Linked DNA regions of Arabidopsis thaliana. The protein of the gene in region 3 purifies or fractionates together with the protein of the main gene of each other region. This does not show direct contact. Each region holds a gene or a part of one and is shown on either strand. Other genes may lie near its edges.

Region 1 (3,754 bases), on a different chromosome or scaffold from region 3:
TGAAGACCCAACAGCCGCAGCATTTGAAGCAATTGAAACCGCGTGATTGCTAGCACTACTGATACTTTCTACATTTTGGACTTCTTCAACTCCATGTTTCTTGTTACTTCTCACATATGTTTCTTTCCCTTTCCCAACATTCGTCTTCTTATTCACTTGTACCACATCTTGCCAATCACCATCATCACCAGCGTCATCTCCATCCGAAATCGCAACATAAATGTCATCATCGTCATAGTAAATCCTAGGAGGACCCGGTTCCTTTCTCTTCTTTGGTTCACCATCCAACTTTTGCAGAGGACAGGCAAAGAGAGGTGAAATAGGTGACCAACTTGGAGCTTGAAATTCACCGGAAAACCCCAATGGAAACAAAGCCCATGAGCAAAAGTAAACGTCTTCGTCGTCTTTCTTATCCACCGGAGGTTTTGGTATCGTCACAGCTTGAAACGCTCTTCTACATTCTTGACATTTCAAAGTACATTCTTCGTAAGCCTTAGGGTACTCAAAGAGTACAAAGCAGTAAGGGCAAGCGGTCCAGAAGCTCGTCGCCATAGGATCCGCCGAGGTCCCAGCCTGGCTCTGAGACCGCGGTGGCGGATATACGGCGGTGCTACTGCTAGGTTCCCACTGGAAATTTTGATGCGATTGGGTTTGAGGATGGAATCCAGATTGACCGAGTTGACTAAGTTGCAATTCTCGGTCGTAGAATGATTTCTTGAACGGATCAGAGAGAACGAACCAAGCATCGGAGACGATTTTAAGAGCTCGATCGGCGAATGGGAGACGATTAACGGAAGGATTGAGGAGAAGAGCGAGTCTACGGTACTGAGTCGCGACGTGTTCAGGGTTTTGAGCTAAACGACCGAGTCGGAGAACGGCGTACCAGTCTGGCAAGTTGGAATCACCTAAACGAGTCTCTCCGGCGAGAAGAATGTCGCAGATTGCGAGGATGTAGTCTGCAGCTTCTGCTCGGGTCGGGTCAGCTTCGCATGCGCGGATCGCAAATGTCTTTGCTCCTTGAAGATCACTAGACGCTAGAAGCTTCTCCGATGTTACAAGCCACTGATCCGCCTCCACTCTGTTACCACCACCACCGCCAACTCCGCCGCGTCCGCCTACCATATCCCCTATTTCTTTTTGTTCCCTTTCGTTTTTCCTCTCTCCCCGTTGAATTTATTTATTATTTTATCGGTAAAGAGTAAATACAGATCTAAAAATTAAAAGGACGAAAACATGATGGATCGTCAATGGGCCGGAACAACAACATGATGGATCGTCAATGGCATTTTGGTCCTTTTCATTTTATATAATATGTGCAATGTGATGGATCGTCAATGGGCCGGAACACTTTTTTCTAAATTTTTCACTTACAAAAAATATTAATAAAATAAGATGTAATATTATTCTCTTAGGACAGTTTCTCTAAACAATTGGAAAAGTTTCTTGTAATCTCTCAAATGAGAGACTCACTCATCTTTACTGAGAGATTTTTTTAATTAAAAAAAACATTATTTACTATTTTATTTTTATTTTTGTAGATGAGAGATTTGAACGAAAAACCACCAATACAGATGCTTTTTAGGATGTTGTAAAGCCCAATAATTCTTTTAAGAATTAAAATATAATCTGGTGGGCTTTAGGTCTGGACAGCCTAACTAAAATAAAATATTACATTCCGATTCCCAGAAAATAATTCGTAATCAATTGACCAAACCGATCGATCACTGTTGTCATAAAAGTCATCGCCATCTTGGTTTCGTGATCGAAAAAGACTCGTGAAAAAATGGATCATATGATATCAGAAAACGGAGAAACAAGTGCCGAAGGATCGATTTGCGGCTATGATTCGCTGCATCAACTCTTATCAGCGAATCTTAAGCCCGAGCTCTATCAGGTGACGTATCCACTCCCTCCAAACTAAATTACTCTTCTAGTGTGTTTGATCTCGCTTTTGATTAGCCTGTCTAATTCGAATGATGATATTATGGATCTTTTGTTCTAGTGGTTTCAAGTGTTTATTTTAGTTATGTTGATCAGCTTTAAAAAATATGGATTGTTGATGATTGGATTTGCAGGAGGTAAACCGGTTGCTCCTTGGACGTAACTGTGGGAGATCGCTTGAACAGATTGTTCTGCCGGAGTCTGCTAAAGCCTTGTCTTCAAAACATGATTTTGATCTCCAGGTTTATACTTCGTTAGTTATAGGATCAGATCATTGAACTTAATAGATTGAGACAATGTTTTGATTTGATTTGATCTTTGTATAAATATTGTCTAGGCTGCTAGCTTTTCAGCTGATAAAGAGCAAATGAGAAATCCTCGAGTGGTCAGAGTTGGTCTCATTCAAAACTCCATTGCTCTTCCAACCACTGCTCCATTCTCGGACCAAACAAGAGGAATATTCGACAAGTTGAAGCCGATAATCGATGCTGCGGGTGTTGCTGGTGTTAACATACTGTGCTTGCAGGTTTTGCCTCCATTTGCTTTCTTTTATTGAAAAGTTGTTACTTCAATTGTTTTTGACCTTTTCTTTGGGGGGGAATGAATGGTTTTATCGATAGGAAGCTTGGACCATGCCATTTGCATTTTGCACTAGGGAGAGGAGATGGTGTGAGTTTGCAGAGCCTGTTGATGGCGAATCGACAAAGTTTCTTCAAGAACTCGCTAAAAAGTATAACATGGTGATTGTTAGTCCTATTCTCGAAAGAGATATTGATCACGGTGAAGTGCTTTGGAATACCGCTGTGATTATAGGGAATAATGGAAATATCATTGGCAAGCATCGAAAGGTATATTTGTGCTAACACGTCTTTTGTTGCTCTGTCTTTTCTCTTGTCAGCTAATTTCTATTACTTGCTTGGTGGCAGAACCATATACCTAGGGTAGGAGATTTCAACGAGAGCACCTATTACATGGAAGGAGACACAGGCCATCCTGTGTTTGAGACGGTGTTTGGGAAAATTGCGGTTAATATATGTTATGGCAGACACCATCCTCTGAATTGGTTAGCTTTTGGTCTAAATGGTGCAGAGATTGTCTTCAACCCTTCAGCAACTGTTGGTGAACTCAGTGAACCAATGTGGCCTATTGAGGTTTAACTTCTGATTCTCCACTTTACTCAATTTGAAGCTTTCTTTCTTTAGTAACACTGTCTAACAATGCAATATGTTCCTTAAAACTTGCAGGCACGAAATGCCGCAATAGCAAACAGTTACTTTGTTGGATCCATTAACCGAGTTGGAACCGAAGTATTCCCCAATCCTTTTACGTCAGGTGATGGAAAACCGCAACACAATGATTTCGGGCATTTCTATGGGTCAAGCCATTTTTCTGCACCAGATGCTTCTTGCACACCGTCTTTGTCCCGTTACAAAGATGGTTTATTGATCTCGGACATGGATCTCAATCTCTGCCGGCAATACAAGGACAAGTGGGGATTTAGAATGACTGCAAGATACGAAGTCTATGCCGATCTTTTGGCAAAGTACATAAAGCCAGACTTCAAGCCTCAAGTCGTCTCTGACCCATTGCTCCACAAGAATTCTACATAAGAAGAAAATTTCACTCTGTGAATCTTCAAAGAAGAAAAGTCCAATAATCAATGTTCAATCATTTGTGTAAATGTAACGGTAACTGAAAATCTGTTTGTAGCTGAATATATGTTGATGCCAAAAGGCAGCTCCTTTGCTTTTATAATCGAACCGGTTTATAATTGAACCGGAATCCAATTCCAAAAATAACCGTAATCAGATAC
Region 2 (3,754 bases), on a different chromosome or scaffold from region 3:
ATTCAATTAATTGCTAATTTCCTAAAATCTATATATCTACATTAATAATAAATATATGATTTTTCTTTCATTTTTATTTGTTCTTATATCTAATTTATTTTTATTTGATATATATAATACATATAGTTAAAAATATATTAGTTTTTTCTGCATATGAGGTAATTCAAAATTTTAAAAACACACATATACTACTCAATCGATGAAGAAAAAAAATAAGTAGAAAAAATCCCACATTACTTTAAAAAATTGAGTAATAGTTCAGAGTCATACATGGCTTTCAAAGCAAAAACTATAGCCTACATAACAAGGTTCAACACAACCTGATTACAAAGAATTCTATAAAACAAAGATGGGCCTATTTCTTTGATCACACTGTGTCTTAGTAAAAACTAAGAGTCTCAAAGTCTGTAATCTGAAAAATCAAAGGAAGAAAAATTCAGGGAAACGAAACAAACACAAATGAGAAATCAAATAAATTAGCGAACCAAATTACAAAAACCTAAAACAGGAGGGAAAGCACTTACTCTTGTTATAAGAAGTAGACTTGACAAAAATAATCTTAAAAGGAAAAGATGATAACACTGAAGAGTTTGGAACAACTTTCTGACGGGAGATGGATTAGGTCGAGGGAGATTATACTATTAACAGAGGAAAAAAACCAAAAAAAACTCCATTTATTTTTAATTTGTTCATACCTGCGTTATTTAATTTGGCCGTTTAATACCTAAGTTAATTTTTATGTTCATTAAAAACCTTCATTTTTTTAAATTTTGGCAAAATCAGACATGCGAGTTAACGGGCGTTAACAATGGTAACGGAATCGCTAACCGCAGTTAAAACTTAACCATATAATGTTTACTATTTATATACAATTTGTTTTCTAATAGTTATGATCATATTATCTTAGTCCCAGTGGTTTTGAGAGAGATTATCATCCTCATCAGTTCGAGATCGATTCTCATCTCCAACAAATTTTTTGATTTTTTTTTTTAACAAAAGGCAAAATCTCAGTAATCCGAGTTACGATTTTGAATTTGATTCTGAGACTTTCTTTTGTTTAGCACCACGTTTGTTAGATCTGCTTCAATTCGATTTTGAGAACGAGCTAAATTAGATTCCTTCATCTCTTCAATTCATATTAAGGTTTTCAATTTCTAGATCGATTGATATGAATAAGTCAGCAAAGATTGCATATTCCCAGTTTTTGCTGATATTTTGCGTTGAAAAATCCAGACTTTGTTTTTCATTGTTAGTAACGTTGATAGCTTATAGAAAGATTATGTTACCATTAATTGCATCTGTTGATAACAAATAAGATCGATTATCACAAATCTATGTTGTATTAATTGGTCTAACATTTGGGACTTTTGGTTGGTGATTGATTTTGGTGCAATATCCTTTGGAGAAAGAAGTGAAGCAACACACAAGTGCAAAGCCTGTTGAAGTGAAAGAGATGGCTGACTTCGATTTTGCCTTTTTGTTAAAAAAAAAAGAAAAAAAATCAAAAAAAATTTTGGAGATGATAATCGATTTTGAATCGATGATGATGGTAATCTCTCTCATAACCACTCGACTAAAATAATATGTTCATAATTATTAGAAAACAAATTGTATATAAATAGTAAACATTATATGGTTAAGTTTTAACTACAGTTAGCGATTTCGTTACCACTGTTAACGCCCGTTAACTCGGATGTCTGATTTTGCTAAAATTAAAAAAAAAAAAAAGGTTTTCAATAAACATAAAAATTAACTTAAATATTAAACAGGTAAATTAAATAACGCATGTATTAAACGGACAAATTAAAAATAAATGAAGTATTTTTTGTATTTTTTCCCTCTTAACAAATTAGGTTAACAATTCTCCCGTTCTCACGCATCTTTACCTAATCTTCCGGATATAAAAATACTATTACTTTGTTTTGATCTTACAAAAAGGCCCAATGTGTGAAATATTAGTTAATGGGCCTTAGGGATGGGCTTCTCAACCTAAAATGAAAAGCACGAGAGAGGATGAAAGAAATCGGAGAAGGCAGTAGGATCTTCCACTTGCCGCTCTTTGAAAATCACTCGCCGTGTCTCTCTAAGCTTCTTCTTCACTGTGAAAACCTCAGATCGCAAATATGCACGCACCGGTACTCGTTCTGAGTGAGTATCTCCATCTTCCTCCAGATCTCATTTCCTCTAAATCGATATTAGTTTTTTGGTAACGAGATTAACTCCTTTTGTGAAAATGGTTTAGGCGATTCGTTGAAGCGTGAATCTGGAAGTAAGGTTCATCATGGTAATATCCAAGCTTCCAAGGTAAATTAATCCTTTTCTATGGCTCTTTTTCTCTGTGATGCTTGTTGCTTCTCTCCTCTGGTTTCAGATCATCGTTGTTTTTGTGGTACAGGCTGTTGCTGATATCATTCGTACAACATTGGGTCCTCGTTCTATGTTGAAGATGCTTCTTGATGCTGGTGGAGGTCTTTTTCTAAACACTTCCTCTTTTTTTTAGGCTTTTCATATCTCTGTATGTGGGTAGTAGATCTCTGTAGTGAGGGAATTAGGTTTAGTGTTTTTAGCTTTGGAAATGTTTTTCTTATGTACTCGTTCTTTGTTGAAGCTATTGTTCTTCAGTTTCGGTGTTAGTTTTATATAAACCCTAAATCAATATTTGGGTTCTGTTTGTCTTGTTTTTTTTTTTTTTCTGTCTACCTTTAATTTTTCTTAATCTGTGTGTTATCATCATATCTTACCCCTCTTTGTTTCTTGGATCTTTACAGGGATTGTTGTTACTAATGATGGGAATGCTATTCTTCGTGAGCTAGATGTCGCTCATCCTGCAGCTAAGGTTTTACTTCTGACCTTTCTCTATCTATTGTTCTTGTTAAAATTGTTTTACTTATCCATTTTTGACTCTGGTGATTGCAGTCAATGATTGAGTTGAGCCGTACGCAAGATGAAGAAGTTGGTGATGGGACAACGTCTGTTATTGTTCTAGGTACGAACATTCTTTTTTGCTAACAAATAGTTTGTCAATGGCTTGGTTTGGACCAGTTTTAATGTATTTTTAACTAAAGCACAAACAAATTACTTAAGGATATTATGGGTGCTGCAGTATTCAGTTCAACATCATGATCTCTGTTTATAATCATGGGTTCTTGAAGTCCTCTTTTTGTTTGCTTTTTGCCAACAGCTGGTGAAATGCTTCACGTTGCAGAAGCGTTTCTTGAGAAGAATTACCATCCCACAGTCATATGCCGAGGTATGCTGGCACTATGAATTGCTTATTGTTGTCATGTTACACATGTCGTTTTCATCTTAACGAATGCATTCTTCTCTGCAGCTTACATCAAGGCTCTCGAAGATTCTATTGCTGTTCTTGACAAAATTGCTATGTCAATTGATATCAATGACCGTAAGTCCATTTCTACCTTGTATTTGTTCATTTGGAGTTGACCTTCAGCTACTTTGGTTTCTGAAGTTAGTTTTTCTTTCACGTTTGTACTGATGGAAGAATGTGTGAGTTGCAGGTTCACAAGTGCTAGGATTAGTCAAGAGCTGCATAGGGACAAAGTTCACTAGCCAATTTGGAGATCTTATTGCGGTAAGTACCGTAATTACAGTAGCTTCTTACTTATGCATTACCAGTCCAGGTTTTATTGCTCCTTAATATATATTGGATATGTCTAGACAAGTAGGTATAGATACAGCATACATCTTGAAGTGACTTTTTAAATGTAAGATGAGTAACCATGAAATAACTTGA
Region 3 (3,754 bases):
TGTGTGCGAGTCACCACAAATTAAAGGAGAACAAATTCAATGTTTCAATCGCTGGTTCCGATATACAACTTATGCATGCCATGGCATGAATGCGAGATCCAATTATATACTAATATATACACACAAAAACATATGTAAATATAGATGGAACAGAAGCCTAGATAGGTTAGGATAAAGAAAACGATCAAATCTGCAAAGATCAGTCTCTCCCAAATCCCCAAAAAAAACAAAGCATGCATTTCGTAATAAACAACTCATCATAAAACGACACATAACTCGAAAACCTCTCCTCCCGACATTTCATCAATTCATTTCTCTTTTTATTTTCGAAAAGATGAAAACTTAATAAATTATTATGAACAATCTTACTATATATATGGATATATACACAGGCCCTAAAACGTAAAACAGTTGAGGACTTTACATCTGAACATGTCTTTCTCCGTGAAAGGTCGAAGCTTACGTGGCAACAATAACGGAGGAACGGGGACGAAGTGCGGGAGATGGAATCCAACGGTGGAGCAGTTGAAGATATTGACTGATCTGTTTCGAGCCGGTCTTAGAACTCCAACAACTGATCAGATTCAGAAGATCTCTACGGAGCTCAGTTTCTACGGCAAGATAGAGAGCAAGAATGTTTTCTATTGGTTTCAGAATCATAAGGCTAGGGAGAGGCAGAAACGTCGTAAAATCTCCATTGATTTTGATCATCATCATCATCAACCATCAACTAGAGGTAGTCTCTTTATATATATATATATATATATATATATATATAATTATATATCATTATTGTTTTATATGATATTTCTATATATTTAATGGATAATAGTGTGTTATTATAGATGTTTTTGAAATAAGCGAAGAAGATTGTCAAGAGGAAGAGAAGGTGATAGAGACATTACAACTCTTTCCGGTGAATTCATTTGAAGACTCCAACTCCAAGGTGGACAAAATGAGAGCTAGAGGCAATAACCAGTACCGTGAATATATTCGAGAGACCACCACGACGTCGTTTTCTCCATACTCATCATGTGGAGCTGAAATGGAACATCCACCGCCATTAGATCTTCGATTAAGCTTTCTTTAAGTCATTGACCACAATAACAAAAGAAAAAAAACAGATGCTTTAGCCTTTAAAATGTTGTTGTATTTTGAATTATGACATATTATCCGATGCATGGTTTATGAGATATTTTCCAATGCATGGTTTATCAAAAAGTTGTCTCATTTTGTTTGATATAAGAATCTATGTTATGGAATGCGTATATGTATATCATCATATAACTAAGGTTGTGATTTGTTAATGTATTTTTCTATATTTTTTAAAAATAATTTAAGAAAGACATCATTAACGAATAGTTCTATTTGCATCACAGAAATACTAGAAATATCAGATAAACTTAAAACTTAAAAGATGTTAAAAAAACAAACTTAAAACTTATCTCTATCAATTTACAAAATTTACATCATCTCGAAATACTTAAGTCTTGATCAACAACCATTAGACCAAAAAACTTGCACAATCTTATCAGAATAAAACCAACTCTTTTAAACGAACAGATTAATATCCTTAATATTATTTTACCCAGACCCATTGTCTTTTAGGCCCATATAATTGGGCTTTATAATACAGAGAAGGCCCAAACTTTGGTTAAACCCATAGTGCCTAGAGAAGATTAATTAAAGGGGTTTTCCTGGAGAAGAAGCAAACTCAAGTTCCGTCGGAGATAAAACGGAATCAAAAGTTGAGGTTTTGATCATTCCCGGAGAAAGAAATTTAGAATTACTCAAGCGAATTTGATTAACCCAACAATGGATGTTATAAAGACGCAACAAATATCGGCAAGGACAATCGAGAAAGTGATCGTTCACCCACTTGTCTTGCTTAGTATCGTCGACCATTACAATCGTGTAGCCAAGGACACGAGCAAGCGCGTCGTCGGCGTTTTGCTCGGAAGTAGCTCTCGTGGTACTGTTGACGTCACCAACAGCTACGCAGGTGCCTTGATTTTACTTTTTCCTTTCTCTTTGTTCTCTTCGATCTCACAGATCTCTGAAAGTTTGTTAAGCTCTTGCTAATCTCATAATTCAATATGTTTAGTGTTCTTGTCTGAAAATTTACTTAAGTTTAGTTTTTTTTAGCTTTTGGGTTGCAAAATTGTCTTACTTTTAAAATCGTTGTGTGATACTTGGATTCAGTCAAACTTGGTCCTAGTGGCCTAATTCCATATTGGAGTGATGAGTATAATATGGTGGTTGAGTTAATTTCTTAGAGAATGAAACAGATTTCATTTGATTTTGCACAGTACATTACACTGTGAGCATGTTCATAAGTGCGTTGTTGTTACTTGCACATCACTTGTTTGACTTTTTGTTTGTGGTTTTACAGTGCCTTTTGAGGAGGATGACAAAGACACAAGCATATGGTTTCTTGATCACAACTACCACGAGTCGATGTTTCACATGTTCAAGAGAATTAATGGTATTGCTCGGGAAATATAATGCTTAAGAGTATATATGTGGAAAGCCTCTTTTTTGACTGATTTTCATATTTGCTTTCAGCTAAGGAGCATATTGTGGGTTGGTACAGCACAGGTCCTAAACTTCGAGAGAATGATTTGGATGTTCACGCTTTATTCAATGGGTAAGACCAAAATCAGTCTAAAATATGAGATATGATGGTCTAATCTAATATATGGTTTGGTGGTCTGTTTAAGTTATATATGTACAAACGTTTTAAAGCATTCACAATCTATCTCTCCTCTCTTGCTAGACCTTATTTCTGTATTACTTCGGTTTTAATCTTAGTTTCTGGTGTTGCAGCTACGTTCCAAATCCAGTGTTGGTCATTATTGATGTCCAACCTAAAGAACTTGGAATCCCCACAAAAGCATACTATGCGGTTGAGGAGGTGAAAGAGGTAAATACCAGCCAATTTTCTAACCATTTTACTTGCTCGACTGTTAAGTTGCATCTGACATACTTGATTTACTTTCTGCATTAGTTATATCCATATATCTAATTGCCTTGATCCGAACTTCTCTCTCTGCAGAATGCTACCCAGAAAAGCCAACAGGTTTTTGTACACGTGCCTACAGAAATTGCAGCTCATGAAGTTGAGGAAATTGGTATGTCTACATGGGGAAACAAATCCTTTGATAGTTTGATTTCCTTATTTCAGAGCATAAGAATGATGAGGGAATTTTTTTTTTTGTAAATGCTTCCGAGGAAACTCAATGGAGTCCTTCTTGCTTCGCTTACGCCAGTTGGTTGGTCTTGAACAGGTGTGGAACATTTGCTCAGGGATGTAAAAGACACAACCATCAGTACCTTGGCAACTGAGGTTATTTTCTTCACACATAACTTAAACATTTCATCATCAAGCTTCTTAATGTTTATTCAAATCATGATTGTTGCTCTCAAAACAAAATGTGAGGAACATATATTGAGGAAACTGAAATTATTTGTGAACTGTATTTCAGGTCACTGCGAAACTTACTGCTCTGAAGGGATTGGATGCACGACTTCGGGAGATCCGGACTTACCTTGACCTTGTAATCGAAGGAAAACTCCCATTAAACCATGAAATCTTATACCATCTTCAGGTAACACTTTTAATTGTAGTTGACTAGTAGAATCAAACTGGTTTTCGTGTTTGTTTTTTTCTCAGTATCCGTGACTGCTAGTAAGGATTATTCAGCTAAATTGAATACTCTTTTGCAAATCTGTAGGACGTATTCAACTTGCTTCC

The links.
Region 1: the proteins of MEE34 (region 3) and BETA-UP fractionate together in Arabidopsis thaliana (co-fractionation; one large-scale study listed by BioGRID). This does not show direct contact.
Region 2: the proteins of MEE34 (region 3) and AT5G26360 fractionate together in Arabidopsis thaliana (co-fractionation; one large-scale study listed by BioGRID). This does not show direct contact.

Annotation. Positions count from the first base shown.
Region 1 is NC_003076.8:25,737,481-25,741,234, forward strand, and holds BETA-UP (beta-ureidopropionase), read left to right. Parts: upstream 1-1,650; 5' UTR 1,651-1,783; coding exon 1,784-1,894; intron 1,895-2,075; coding exon 2,076-2,183; intron 2,184-2,278; coding exon 2,279-2,467; intron 2,468-2,561; coding exon 2,562-2,789; intron 2,790-2,867; coding exon 2,868-3,092; intron 3,093-3,185; coding exon 3,186-3,551; 3' UTR 3,552-3,742; downstream 3,743-3,754. Other genes in the region: EIP9 (Chaperone DnaJ-domain superfamily protein), read right to left, coding at 1-1,122. UniProt on the Arabidopsis thaliana protein: Catalyzes a late step in pyrimidine degradation. Converts N-carbamoyl-beta-aminoisobutyrate and N-carbamoyl-beta-alanine (3-ureidopropanoate) to, respectively, beta-aminoisobutyrate and beta-alanine, ammonia and carbon dioxide.
Region 2 is NC_003076.8:9,257,261-9,261,014, reverse strand, and holds the start of AT5G26360 (TCP-1/cpn60 chaperonin family protein), read left to right. Parts: upstream 1-1,986; 5' UTR 1,987-2,123; coding exon 2,124-2,148; intron 2,149-2,242; coding exon 2,243-2,304; intron 2,305-2,395; coding exon 2,396-2,468; intron 2,469-2,768; coding exon 2,769-2,836; intron 2,837-2,916; coding exon 2,917-2,986; intron 2,987-3,181; coding exon 3,182-3,250; intron 3,251-3,331; coding exon 3,332-3,403; intron 3,404-3,518; coding exon 3,519-3,592; intron 3,593-3,754. UniProt on the Arabidopsis thaliana protein: Molecular chaperone; assists the folding of proteins upon ATP hydrolysis. Known to play a role, in vitro, in the folding of actin and tubulin.
Region 3 is NC_003074.8:3,527,174-3,530,927, forward strand, and holds the start of MEE34 (Mov34/MPN/PAD-1 family protein), read left to right. Parts: upstream 1-1,648; 5' UTR 1,649-1,815; coding exon 1,816-2,002; intron 2,003-2,392; coding exon 2,393-2,485; intron 2,486-2,565; coding exon 2,566-2,647; intron 2,648-2,826; coding exon 2,827-2,923; intron 2,924-3,055; coding exon 3,056-3,131; intron 3,132-3,287; coding exon 3,288-3,346; intron 3,347-3,485; coding exon 3,486-3,608; intron 3,609-3,734; coding exon 3,735-3,754. Other genes in the region: WOX5 (WUSCHEL related homeobox 5), read left to right, coding at 433-736, 846-1,090. UniProt on the Arabidopsis thaliana protein: Acts as a regulatory subunit of the 26S proteasome which is involved in the ATP-dependent degradation of ubiquitinated proteins.